4 linked regions of the Danio rerio genome follow. The protein of the gene in region 2 binds, or shares a complex with, the protein of the main gene of each other region. Links are inferred from orthologs where the notes say so. Each region holds a gene or a part of one and is shown on either strand. Other genes may lie near its edges.

Region 1 (3,574 bases), on a different chromosome or scaffold from region 2:
ATGAGGATCACTGCGTGCTCTGAAATATCGAGCGACACAGGGAAGGTGCACCTTGATTTCACATGATGGATTTTCACATACCTGGCACTGAAAGAAAAGCATTTTGTTTGGCATGTCTGAAAATGGCATAAAAGTGTGTAACTTTTGTGTCACTAGGTCTACACAAATACAGTATAAATTTCACTGAATGTAGTGTAAGTGATAATAGTACACTATTAAGCAAGAAACAGTATGACATAAAAACAATCACTAAGCATGTACTGTTCTTTAATGATGTCTGGAATTAAAAATCAAATAATCTTATGCCTGTTTTTTTGTCATGAATGAAGGTTCATGATCTTTACTCGTTTATTACCTGTAGGGCGATGTTGTGGCACACGTAGCACACTTTGATCATGTCCTGGTAAATTGTGCGCATATATGGCTCCATTTCCACAATGCAGCGAACACTTAGAGTGTACTCACCATCTTGCTAATGCAGAAAAAAGCAGAACAAAAATAATGCTTTTGAAAAAAGAGCGACTTGTTGCCAAATATAAATTTAAATACAATAGAAACTGTAAAACATGTACAGATCAAAATGATTAGCTCTCCCATGACACTGTAAATCTTCTTCAAATAATTCCTCACTGCTTTTTAATGCAGAGAATTTTTAACATTTAATGGTATTAATAACTAATTTTTAATAGCTTACTTTAGTTGTTTGTGCCTTAATGACGGTTCATATTTTTCTATATATATATAAAACAGTTCTGTCTGCTTCTCAAATTTGATTGGATGACAGCCATACAATATTCCCGTAATAACAGCACTAGTACAGCCTGTAGTAGCTCTCCATTGCCGCTAATGTTGGTAGAGCAAGCAAGTTTTTTTATGCGTAAAAGTCAGAGTCTGTAGTCAAAATAGATGCAAATAACAACGTCTTAATTTTTCAATTAACAGAATTCCTTCATCAATTTTCCTTAATCTATTATGCACACTTCTCTGTTACTTTAAGTTACATTACATTAAGTTACGGTCAAAAACTGTGTGCTTCCAACCAACGCTCTCTTCCCCCATGCAGTGAAGCCACAGTTATATAGTCTGGTACTGACACCTTGTGGCTAATCGGCAATATATACTGTATGGCTCCTACACAGCCTATATATATATTACTAAGTATATTATTATATAATATACTTAGGCTATATTATATATTACGGAGTATATTACTCCGCCCACATACAGGGACAGCAGATGAATAAACTCACTACAGTGTGACAAATATTGCAGCTGTTGGACAACATAATGTACTTTTGAAGCTTTTTAAGCGAGAATGTAGTTTTTTAGATTACAACTATGCAGTTTAAAAGTAAAGTGCCTGTTTTAAATATTTATAATTTCAGAGATTCAGCATGTTCGCCTGTCATACTGAGCAGAGCAAAGACAGTTGACGTTCCACCACAACATGGCGACAGAGACTGCATAATAAGCCCTTAGATGAGAAAAACTCAGCATAAATTTCAAACCACAGCTTATCAAATTTGACTAAACAATAACACGGCAATAAAACTGGTAAGTGACATTAAGTCAATCTCTCTCTTTTGTATCTTGTAGTGCTGATATTGGGAAATCTCTGTAGACTGATGGCATTTAATGCGTTCAGCTTTATAATCTTAAAATATTAGCAAAATCAACTGTTTAGTCATCACTTTAGACATTACGCTAGAGAATCGTTCAAACACTAACTCAAGTGACCTTTGTGAAGCAGCAATGGTTCTGATGCTGCAGATCTGATTAAATGGCAGAAGAAAAGACGTTCTTCATACAAAAGGATTTATGAGACTCTCCGTGTTTAATTTTTTTCTTTTATATACATAATTATGCTGTCAAACTGTTGTATAATTGCAATATTACACTCGTAGCAGTGCAATATAGCTGTATATTGACACTAAAGCACTCGGCTTGTGGCCTTGAGCCAACACATGTCTCCCACAAGTGCCGTTATAGAGCCATATCGCACTGCTACTCATGTGATATTGTCCATATATATATATATATATATATATATATATATATATATATATATATATATATATATATATATATATATATAAAAATAATAAAGTGTACCTCTTTTAACCATTTGTCTTGTACAAATTTATTTAAGACTAGCTCTGCTTCTTTCTTCTTTAATTTCTTTGAGATCAGCTTGTCAGCAGAATTTAGAATTGCTGTGGATGAGGCAGAACCGGAATCAGACTCCACAATCAGATCCATCTGAATAAAGACAAAACAGGAAATCATTAGAAACCATTTATTCAATGACCAACGTTTTTTATGTTTTTTTTTTAAATGTTTTCTATTTAAATGTATTTTAAAATGTAATTTATTTCTGTGATGGCAGCGCTAAATTTCATTCAGTTCCCAGTTCCAGTATCACATGATCATTCAGAAACAGTTCTAAGATCAGACTCAAATTTCCACAATTTGCTGCAGACTGCCGAGACAAGATATACTATACCATAATAAAATAGGTTTGTAATAAGTAATTCTACATACAAAATGCATTTTGTGAACTGTGAATAATAAATTAATAGTCAGCAGTTAAAAATGAATCTTTCCAATAGTTAAATTACATGGATTTGCTGCACAGTTATTAAAAATTAAACATTAAATTTTTAACACTTAGAATACTACTAATAACAATACTGAACAGCAAATCAGTATTAAAATAATGTGATGGATCTTGTGACTCTAAAGGCTGAAGTAATAATGCCAAACTAGAACTTATTTTCTGCATCACAAAAAAAAAAAATACAATTTTAAAATGTATTCAATATGCACTAATATTTGTATATTAATATATAAAATAGTATTTGACAAATATTATAAGTATTTACTATTTTTCTGAACAACTCCAACTCGTTCTCCGCATAATCAGCAGCCATTCGTGTAATGTCGGTCTCTGCCATATTTACCTGAACAACAGATTAGGTTTTAACTTAATATAAATCAAACACATATGTCATTTTACTATTATATATTAGTAGTATGCAAAAACAATAATCAAAATTAATATCTAACACATTTACTGAGTAGACACTAGAAAACATAAAAACACCTCTCCTTAAACATAAATGTATTTTAGATTTAACAAACCAAAACAAAATGTTCCTGGCCATCCTCCTCCGACATCCCTTTACGAATATGCATAAAGAGGGGCTGAAGGTGAGTGTTGACAACATTGATGAAATCATCAATTTTTTCTTGCCCTAGAATACAACAGAGAAACAGAATTTAAAGAGAGCACTCGTATCTAAATACAGTAGCTGATATTCAGTTTGCAGCTATGAGGCATAGAAACAACCATGGGCGTTGCTAGGCCTATTTTAAGGGGGCTGTAACCCTCCTATATTTTTAGTCAGCCCCCCTAAAACTTTTGAAATTAGCTCATAAACTACACTAAATTATCGCCTCAGTACCCTTTTAAATTTGATATGAAAATGGCGGCAGAATTTATCTCCTCCCTGTCTTTTGTTTTTCATTTGATCAGCAAATCACAGGAGTGGACAGCGAGAAAATGAGGTGTGTG
Region 2 (3,574 bases):
TCCTGACATGCTTTTTATATTCCCGCGCTACTTCTCCAAATGATGATAGATCGGTCTCCTGACCAATCAGCTGTCATGAAGGCGGACCTACAGAAATGACAGGCATCAGCTGTCGTGAAGGCGGACCTACATAAATGACCAGCATGGAGGGAATGGGAGAAAGAGAGATCAGGAGGCAAAAATACAGCCGGCTACAACCCTAACATTAGTTTCAGTCACAACTGCAATGTATTTTGCTGGTAAATATGTCATGTAAAAACACTTTACAAACACATTATATGTATATTTTTAAATTAATTTAAACAGAAACCTATCTATCTAACTGAAACCTTAAATAATCAAAAATGACCATCATGTCTGTGTCTGCACAGAGATCAAGCCTCTCACCTGAGAATGTGGATATTATGGTGTTTTTGAAGAAGATCTTTCACTAGTCTACACTGCAGTTATTTATTTAATTTTAGTTTACTTAGTTAAGATGGCTGCACTAAAGAAAATAGTTTTTTCTGACTAGTCTATATTGGAGGTATTTATAATTTTAGTTGTTTACTCGGGTATCCTGACTGTACTAAAATGTGATTGCAAAGTTAATAAAGAAAAAAGTTTAGTTTTTCTTGTTATTAAGTGAATCTATTGTTCCTTAGCATTGCTGTTAACATGACATCAACCCTAACCCCACAGCAAACAGGAACTGAACGGTGGCTCCAAAACCGTGAACCAAACCGAACCGTGACTTTGGTGTATCGTTACACCCCTACCAGCCATGAGTGTTTTTGGAAAAGATTGAACAAGTTTTTCAGACCTGCGTTTGGGGATCCTCCTCTGGGCAATACTTTCTGTACCAACTGTATAATTGAAAAGTCATAAACTTTGACATCATTTTGACTTCACATTGCTGTTTTTTCCTCCACAGATGTCATTATGTAGTTTTAAAACTCATTTTTAATATTTCTTTTTGGTCAGTAATATCACAATTATTTTTATCTTCACAGTCTCAGATCAAATAAATTGTAATTTTTTTTTACATTTTGGTGCAAATAAAAATATTTAAATATAGTTTACAGTGATTTTTATGAAGTTATCTCTTCGTACTTAAACTATAAATCAGTTACCTCTTATAGTCTCTTATTATTATTATTCAACACGTTTTGTTATTTGATATTCAAGGTTGGGCTCATTTTTGGCAGAGCCTCCTCCTCCACGGCAGAGAGTTGAAAGGCAAAGAAGAGTGCCCAGCAGAGAGGAGAAACGGATTATGCCCACCCAGGTCTGCTTATTATAATGCAAACACTTGACTGTCTCCCCAAAATACCTGTTTTTAAGAAATTAAAAAAATACCTTATCATCACAGCTGAAGAAAATGGAAGAATCTCACCAGGAGGCAACTGAGAAAGAGGTGGAAAGGATTCTTGGATGTCTGCAAAGATACTTTAGAGATGACTGTAAGCATGTTAAGCTGCTAACTATCAGCTTCCCACTATCAGAGTCTTTCCAAAATTGTACAATTTTTTATCAAAAGTAAACCCTAAAAAACAGTTTTAGATTTTTTTTAATCTTGTATTATTATTATTATTATTATTATTATTATTATTATTATTATTATTATTATTATTATTATCATTATTATTATTAATAATATTAATAATAATAATAATAATGTATTTTATCTTTTTATATTATTTTATGATGTTGATAACCTTTTATTGTTAAAATATTTGTATAATTATAGAAAAGTAATATTTGTTAAATGTTGTGAACTTGATCTGTTCTTTTTGCCATGACATAGCCAGAAAAGCTGATAAGGCATTAAACTCAAAAACTCTCTCTCTCTGGAACAGCCGAGGAGCCCATTTCATATTACGAGTTCGTCATCGACCCTAACTCCTTCTCACGAACGGTGGAGAACATCTTCCACATGTCTTTTCTAATTAGAGTGAGTTTAAACGCTACATTGGCCTTGAACATTCAACACAAGTCACACAATAACGAATTAAATCACTTTTTATTTATTACTTTTAGGATGGTCTGGCGAGGATGTACTTGGAGAATGGGCTTCCTTATATAGGTTAGATCGCATCCTTAAGTCACTGTTGTATTTTTTTTGTTTGTTTGTCTAAATGTACTTGCAGGCTGTAATATTTGTGCTTGTATTGTAGCTCCAGTAGAGGAAGGTGAGATACAGCCTGGTGGCGCTGCCATTCGACATCAGTGTGTCATCTCGATCAGCCAGGAAAGCTGGAGGGTGAGCGCTTTAACTGTTTTTAGCATTTCTTTTGGCATCACTTTTATTTTAGTGTGCTTGTTACACGTTTCATGTACTTACTTTTGTAATAAAAATAATTAATTCATAATTATATGCAACTGACCCCAATCCTAACCCTAACCATATTAAGTTAATGCAGTAAAGTAGCATTTCTCTATACTTTGAGGAGACCTATTGTGCAAAAATCACTTTTATAAGGAGTTTGAACAAAGTTGTGTGGTGACTGTGCATGAGTATATCCAGCCTCGTATGATAAAAATTAATGAATAATATTTTTATAATCACAACTGAAAAAGTGCAGAAACACTTTAAACTACATCTATTAGTGACGACCTCTACCTCATTAGCATAAATAGACCTGAGCAAGAAGCAGCCATCTGGCATAAGTTTTCACACCATACCTGTGGATGATAATGTCAGTGACTAAGAGGCATTATAAATGTAGAGTTTTAGGACGCACAAATGAACACCGTAGTCTCCATAGACGACTTTCTTCAGAGTCAATTTTTTTAGCATTTTCAGTTTTAAACAAAAATAATATTAGTTCTGTTTTATTACGCCCAAAGTCTTGGGGAAACAACATGGGCATAATAAACGAAGAAAAACAAATGTGTTGGGGTGGTGGATTTCTCAAACAAAACAAAAACTTAATGCAAAAAGACTCCCTTCGGTCGACAACCAAACTCAGACACTCAGTTGAGAGTATATATGAATAGATTTATTATAGAAAAATGTGGTTAATATAAATGAGCATCTCTTTAGGGTGACCACAGGCCAAAATAACAAACAAAAGAATCTATAAAGTAAATGCACTAAATTACCTATAACTATTTAAAGAAAAATACAAGAAGCTTACCTTACTCCCTAAACATAAACATAGTCAAAAGTAATCAAATAAATAGGCAGGCCACCCCTACACGCTCAAACTCTCAAAATATTTTAACGTATGAACATTAGTACAATAATGGTTGTTGGTCGTCGGCCAGAGGGGTGAGGGAAATCCAGGAGCTCCACTCCAAGCACCGAACACAGCAGAAATGAGCTCCCCGAACCCTGCCGGAAGCTCCTTTTTATACATGCCTCCCTGACCAGCAGCCAATCAGAACTCAAGATCACGCTTGTATGGGAGCCTATGAGACAACAGAAAAACAACAAGAAGGCGGGACAAAGAAAAAGACAGAGTACAATTCGCAATAATAAATAAATAAATAAATAAATAAACTTCAGTTGTAACATGTTTTAAATCTGTTATGCTGATGAGTAAGTGTTTGTAGCTTCACCCTCTTCTGAAAAGAGGGCTGGGAGCACAAT
Region 3 (3,574 bases), on a different chromosome or scaffold from region 2:
CCGAGTTACTGGAGACCACATTATTGGAGTAAGCAGACTTCTTCACATTATACCTCTCCTCCGCTGTGTAAATCGTTCTCAACTGAAGGTCTTTGATCACCTGCCACAGGTGTAAACAAGTGTAAACATTAAAAAAATTGTCAATTTACTCACAAAAATTGATTACTGCTTCCATATGTTTGATTTATTTACTTTTCATTAATCAATAAGCAAGTTTAATAAACTAGATTATTAGAACTAAATATTTACAATGAAAACTGCATAGAATGTTCACATGATGCCCTAAATAGCTGTGTTTGGAAATAACGAATCTTACTATAGTCCATGCCCACTATTCTGACCAGTTATATCTAAATATGTGCATCAAGTAAACTGAAGACCTCTCATAAGTAATAAGAGCTTTTTAATAACCCAGTATAATCTAATGTCATTTAATGTATTTATATAGCACATTTATTGTGTATAAATGCACACAAAAGCGCTTCACAATCTTGAGGCCATCTCTGTACCCCCCCCACCCCCCAACCCCCACCTCCCCCCCCCCCCTCTGTGTCCAGCATCAACTTGGATGATGCGACGGCAAACAAAGGACAACAGCATCAGTGTGCTCACCACACCTGATATTGATAGAGTGGATGATTGGGAGGCCATGATGGGCCAAAGGAGAAAATTTGGCCAGGGCACCGGGGTTTGCTCCCCTACTCTTTACGGGAAATCCTATGGAATTTTTAATAACCAGAGAGTCAGAACCTTCGTTTTAGCGTCTCATCTGAAAGACGGCGCCCGTGTCACCTTCACTATACTGGGGCATCAGAATGAACCGCCAACTTATCCAGCATCTTTTTACGCAGCGGATGCCCTTCCAGCCGCAATTAATCTCTGGGAAACATCCACACATAATCATTCACACTCATAAACTACGGACAATTTAGCCTACCCAATTCACCTGTACCACATGTCTTCAGGGCTGATAGTGGAAAAAATTCCTGACCCTGAACTTTTTTTCCTTGCCCCTGAGGTGAGTAGGGGTGGGGGTACTATGTATGCAACGCACTTTTAACACATAACTTGTGGGCCCCTGGGCCCAAATATATTAACAGCCTATGTGTAACCCTGATCATCATTATTGTCAAGTGGCTCTTTTTAGACACATGCCAGTTATGTCAGTGACACATGCCAGTGTCAGTGATCTTGTGACATGTGCCAGTAGGTGTCAGTATAAGCACGTTATAAGCACATTAATCTTATAAGTCTCTTTGCTTTAATATTTAAAAATCATTAGGCAAATGACACCTGTTATCTTACATGCATATATGTTATGAGTTTTCAACATGCATTTTATTATAACTTTTTATAGGATATTATTTAAAATACCTTAAAATGAAAATAAGTTAAATAATAAAATAAATGAATGAATTAAAAACATAGAGAAGTCCATATTGTAGGGAACAAAGGAACTGCCAGGATGCAATAGTATACAGTACAACAGATAAGTGTAACCCCTCCCATAAGCATGCCACAATAAATTTGACTGACATGTACTGTCAAATGACTATATTACGTACGGAAGTATGACTACGAATACATAAAATAAATGCGTTTAAATTAAAACATCGTGGAGTAGCTCAGCAAATAAACTAACTTGCGATGCGATAAATTAGGTTAAATGTCGCTTAATGATTAAATATGGTTTTGCTCGTGTTAATTAATGTCATAAGCTTCGCCGGGTGTCGATGTCACTGCAGTGACATGCAGCGCGACACTCTGAGTGACACAGGTCACTACACATGCCACTAGCGAGTGACACATGACAGTGGAAAAACGGACGTGCCACCGGAAGTGTCACTACACTCAGTGGCATGTGCCAGTGTCATCTGTACGTCAGATGTCGTGTCACTCCATGTTAAAACTGCTACTGTGAATCCGCGTTCAAGCGCACACAATAAGCTAAAACTCGCCCCAAGCACCGGCAAAAACAAATAACAATGAATGTATCGAGGAAAGAGTAAGGACATATCTTAATTATTTATGAATAAACTTATTCTGAGTCAGTGTCGCAAAGATCCTGACTGGCAATCTCCTCTTGGACTCGCCTTTAGAGAGAAGTTCATCTTTACGGATTACATGAAGGAGTTTTTTTGTTTTCGATTTGTTTTATTTCGTTAAGTAATAATTTAAAGCTTTCTATAAATATATTTATTATGTCTGGGAGGCATATACATTTTGCTTCATTTTGTTAAGCGCTCCTGTTCAAAAACCAGACGACAGAAAGCGCATAATTTTGGTTTTCTTTATTTTATAAAAACGCTGTAACGTTCTTTGATGTATTACTCGTACTTTGTGAGCAAAAATGACGGATAACTTTAAATTGCTCCCACTAAAAAAACGCAAGTGATTACTCTGGCGCCTCGATGTCCTGCAAGCTTTTTATAAGCAAACTATGCGCCTAATAGCACACATTCTTTAACGTTTAAGCTACCATTGTTTTATACTTGAACTGTTTTATATCTTTTATTTTAGGCAAGTCGTGATGATCTGAGAAGGCAAACTGATCAAACAGACAACGATGGTCTTCCGCTGGGCGCTGTTCGTTAAAAAAAAACTTATTTTTAACGAATAAAAAATGCTCCAAACGTTTTTCTAAATAAGCCGAATAAAAAACGAAACTAAATATAAACACTTTGCCATTAGGCTACATACAAAACTGACCTCTTTCATAGCTGAAACACTAAGTTGTTTAAGGAGAAGGGGGAAATATATTTTTGTCCCGTCTATTTCTTCACCGTTATTTCGAGAATAAACCCAGCGTAAATATGCAGATGTCATTCCCAAAACATATCAGCGTATATGTGCCGAAAACGAAAGTTTCATACAAATTCTGAATGGATTATAGCCTGGAAAGTGCAAAGCAGCTCCTCTTATTATCACTAAAAAGCGTCACTAATCTTAGTTCATAGAGATCTCACAAAGATCTGTTAAAATTTATAAAGCTCTCTAAATTACACAATTAATCAGTAGCAGTGAGTGAATTCTGTGAATCTAGAGAAATGACAGATCAATATCCGTGAACCTGATTTTTTTTTCCCCGCAGCCACAGTACGCCGGAAATCCGGCGTGGTGCCGGAACGCTATCACCCCTGTGTCTTTGGACTGTGGGGGAAACCAGAGCACCCGGAAGAAACCCACACGAATGCAGGGAAAACATGCAAACTCCGTTCAGAAACGCCAACTGACCCAGCCGAGGCTCGAACCAGCGACCTTCTTGCTGTGAGGCGACAGCACTACCTACGGCACCTCTGCGCCACCATAATGAATTAATTTAAAGTATATTACTCTGCTTTCAGCTATACATCACTTTTTTATCAAAGGAGAACCAACCGATTCAATCATGCCCTTGGTCTTCTCTGTTCCTATTGGTACATCGTTAACTCTGTACTGATGGCATAAATAACTCATAACCTCCTCAGGAGCATCAAACATCTCTCGCAAGTACGAGATGAAGCCGTAAGGCCTGCAAAAAATAATAAAAAAAACATTAAACACATAAACTCTAAATGTAGTAAAAAAAAAAGAC
Region 4 (3,024 bases), on a different chromosome or scaffold from region 2:
TGGGCCACGAAAGAATGTAAAGTGGTTAAATAGGCCTCCCAAAAAACCCAGCTGGATGTTACAGAGTCCAGTCAGGCTATTACAAGCGATACACACACAAAGAGCACCACAGTGGATTTGCACGCTCTCATTCACCCACACACACAAACACATAGAGCACGACAGAGGATGCGTGCGCTCTCACATTCACATTTAGATGCTTTTTTTGGCATGAAAAATAACTGTGTACTCGTCTTGCCAAAGAGGGCAGTAGTGCAAAGCAGTAGGGTTTTATTCAGAAATTTATTTCCGCGCCACAAGAAAACTGGTCAGGTCCCGTGGAATGCAGACCTCTACTACATAGTCCTCAGCACCAAAAATGGGCAGATTCTACATTATATACTAAATAATCTGATGGGTAATTTGAGCTGCGATTCTACAGGCACCTTCTAGAGACACCAAAGTCTTTTTGTACATCTTATAAAAGTAAAATAGGTGTCCATAGTGAGCTGTGTTAACATGACTCAGCTGAACACGCAGGCATTCTTCCTCATGAGCATGTGAGTGTACAGTTAAAAACTAGCCAAGAGAGCTGTCTGCTGTTAAAAAAATAACCTCAGAATTGATTCAAGAAGGAATATCGATGCGTTTTGAAAATCTCTGAATCAACGCAGAAACAATTTCTTGAATGATTTTTCACCACAGCTCTAATTAGTGGATTGAGAAACTGCTAGCTAATCTAAAAAGTTCAATCTGAGAGCACTGCTTTGTTTTTTAATATTAAAACAGGCTGCATGCATTTGTACACTCATTTAAGATGCCATGAAGACAGAAGTGAGCAGTGGTTACATACCGAAATTTCTTCCTATTTTTGTGCTTGTTCTTAATCATTTCAAGCACCGCCTCTTGGTCATAGTAATGATTGCATTTCTTGTTTTTCATTGGATTGACCATCTCAACCTGTCAGGACAAAAAATTATACATTAAAATAACATAACATTTCTGTTTCTTATGTGTTCTCTTTGCATTTAAACACTGCTAGTGTGTACCTGCGTGAGAGGGCAAATGAAGTTCGTCTGGCTCTGTGTTACAGCAATGTCCTCATCCAGCTCTTCCTCTTCATTCTCAGCAGGATTCTGAGCTGTTGCATATGCAAACACATACACACACACACACACACACTTATTAGACTTAATGACTGAGCCTTATTTAGAATTATTGTGATGTGTAAAATACAGGGTCATTTGTGAACATGTTGTGGTCTTTTGGGTTTCCAACCTTGCATGGCATATTTCCTGACTGTCTCTTTGAAAGCAACCACCTTGCTGTGATTTCGCAGGTCTGAATCTGAAACTCCAGCGATCAGCTCAGTGAAGCGGTCCTTTACAGAGCCTCTCAGATTAACCATGGCCTCTGGAGGTGCATGTCTGACCTACAGAACATGTGAGAGACAGTCATCCCGCTGGCTTGGCTGGTGAATGTGGAAGGATTTTAGTTAGATAAGACAGACCTGAGCAGTCATTTCATTAACGGACTCCACTAAACAGTTGATTTCACTGTCTAGTCTGGAGCACTCCATAATCATCTCCCCCAGTTTCTTCAGAGATGGGCTGTTTTCCATACCTGAAATGAAAAACCTTAAAGGGTTAGTTCACCCAAATATAAAAATGATGTTATTGATTACACAAAGTAAGATATTTTAGGTGAAATCTGGGAGCTCTCTTATCCTCCACAGACAGTAATGTTTCCAAATTGTTATAAAAATATCCTCAAAACATATTCCTTCAGTGGTTATTTCTAAAAAAAAAAAAGCTATGATAATACTTTTATGCGCACATTAAAACAAAAATAACAACTTTAATCATGTTTTTTCTCCTCAGTGTCAGTATATTGTACACATACATAAGCACTGTGCACTGATGTATAAGCTACTCCAATGTTATTAATAATAATGTATATTATACATAAGGGTGTCACGATTTCGATTTTAATTGAAAATCGATCGAAATTTATGCTCGATTTCGATTATCAAATCAAAAAATAGAATCGTCGATGCTGCCACGCCCCATGTCACGTCAGCTTGGCTTGCCAAGCGGGAAAAAACACGCTTGTTGAAGTGCTTGTTAAACTGTGCAGACGCAGGAGACCCATCGTCAGAGCTTAAACCATCAGCGCTCGACAAAAAGGACTGCCCGATAGCCCGGAGCCAGTGTGCGAGATGCTCGGGTCAGTGTACAGTGCTGCCTTGTTGACTGACAGATTGAGCCAGAGCTGCGTGCTGCAACTGTCTGTCAATTGTGTGCAAATATAATCTTACGGTGCTTTCACACATAGACGTTTGTTTCGGAATCTGTCTCGTTTCCCCCGTTAGTTTGTGTGGCATATATCCAGCAGTTGCGCTCGCATCCGCGCCAAATCAATCAGTCTGAGATTGCCTGAATGAGACGATCTCTGCCCTATTGAGCGGATGGATTGTAGTGAGAAAACAAAACAATGCAACGAACTAACGACCCAGGCTATATCACAGTGTATTATGATCGTGTAATAGCCATATATACGGCTATATGAAGAGAAAATGATGAGCAGGGCCAGATGTCATTCTTACCGGTAAATGCGAGTGAAAGCATGCTGAAATATTACCGAGAGCTGTTTATAAAGCCTGATCTCGGTTTATCCGTCAGGAAAATTGACCGAAATTACTATCTGTTAATTTTTCTATATTTTAATTGTATAATATGTTGTATTAGGCCCGTTGTTTTGTTCATTTCCGCACTGACAGCTCGAAAGAAAGATTAACATTGATCTGATGCAGTCTCGGTTCATCTGCTATGTCTCTCTATAATTTAAGCCTATCATGCAGAATTCTAGCCAACGTTTCTTTAATAGATTGATTAATTTAATAGATCGATTTTTACAAAACCTGAAAATTGAAATGAGGCTCTGTATATATGAGAAAGTCTGACCTCTGCTTTATATTCGGTGACGATGTCTGTGGGTTGTTAAAATTAAAGTGCACATTTTTGCTTATAAAATATTCTATACACA

What was found.
Region 1: nsmce4a (region 2) and nsmce1 share a complex: the UniProt entries of both Homo sapiens proteins name them as parts of the SMC5-SMC6 complex. The link is inferred for Danio rerio from reciprocal best matches to the Homo sapiens genes NSMCE4A and NSMCE1.
Region 3: nsmce4a (region 2) and smc5 share a complex: the UniProt entries of both Homo sapiens proteins name them as parts of the SMC5-SMC6 complex. The link is inferred for Danio rerio from reciprocal best matches to the Homo sapiens genes NSMCE4A and SMC5.
Region 4: nsmce4a (region 2) and nsmce2 share a complex: the UniProt entries of both Homo sapiens proteins name them as parts of the SMC5-SMC6 complex. The link is inferred for Danio rerio from reciprocal best matches to the Homo sapiens genes NSMCE4A and NSMCE2.

Annotation. Positions count from the first base shown.
Region 1 is NC_133178.1:43,211,247-43,214,820, reverse strand, and holds part of nsmce1 (non-structural maintenance of chromosomes element 1 homolog), read right to left. Parts: intron 3,255-3,574; coding exon 3,142-3,254; intron 2,961-3,141; coding exon 2,883-2,960; intron 2,260-2,882; coding exon 2,113-2,259; intron 473-2,112; coding exon 356-472; intron 88-355; coding exon 1-87. UniProt on the Homo sapiens protein: RING-type zinc finger-containing E3 ubiquitin ligase that assembles with melanoma antigen protein (MAGE) to catalyze the direct transfer of ubiquitin from E2 ubiquitin-conjugating enzyme to a specific substrate.
Region 2 is NC_133188.1:32,177,722-32,181,295, forward strand, and holds part of nsmce4a (non-structural maintenance of chromosomes element 4 homolog A), read left to right. Parts: intron 1-1,167; coding exon 1,168-1,267; intron 1,268-1,351; coding exon 1,352-1,442; intron 1,443-1,838; coding exon 1,839-1,933; intron 1,934-2,019; coding exon 2,020-2,065; intron 2,066-2,156; coding exon 2,157-2,242; intron 2,243-3,574. UniProt on the Homo sapiens protein: Component of the SMC5-SMC6 complex, a complex involved in DNA double-strand breaks by homologous recombination. The complex may promote sister chromatid homologous recombination by recruiting the SMC1-SMC3 cohesin complex to double-strand breaks.
Region 3 is NC_133185.1:17,911,721-17,915,294, forward strand, and holds part of smc5 (structural maintenance of chromosomes protein 5), read right to left. Parts: intron 3,512-3,574; coding exon 3,379-3,511; intron 101-3,378; coding exon 1-100. UniProt on the Homo sapiens protein: Core component of the SMC5-SMC6 complex, a complex involved in repair of DNA double-strand breaks by homologous recombination.
Region 4 is NC_133191.1:26,962,809-26,965,832, reverse strand, and holds part of nsmce2 (E3 SUMO-protein ligase NSE2), read right to left. Parts: intron 1,603-3,024; coding exon 1,490-1,602; intron 1,412-1,489; coding exon 1,258-1,411; intron 1,121-1,257; coding exon 1,029-1,120; intron 940-1,028; coding exon 833-939; intron 1-832. UniProt on the Homo sapiens protein: E3 SUMO-protein ligase component of the SMC5-SMC6 complex, a complex involved in DNA double-strand break repair by homologous recombination. Is not be required for the stability of the complex.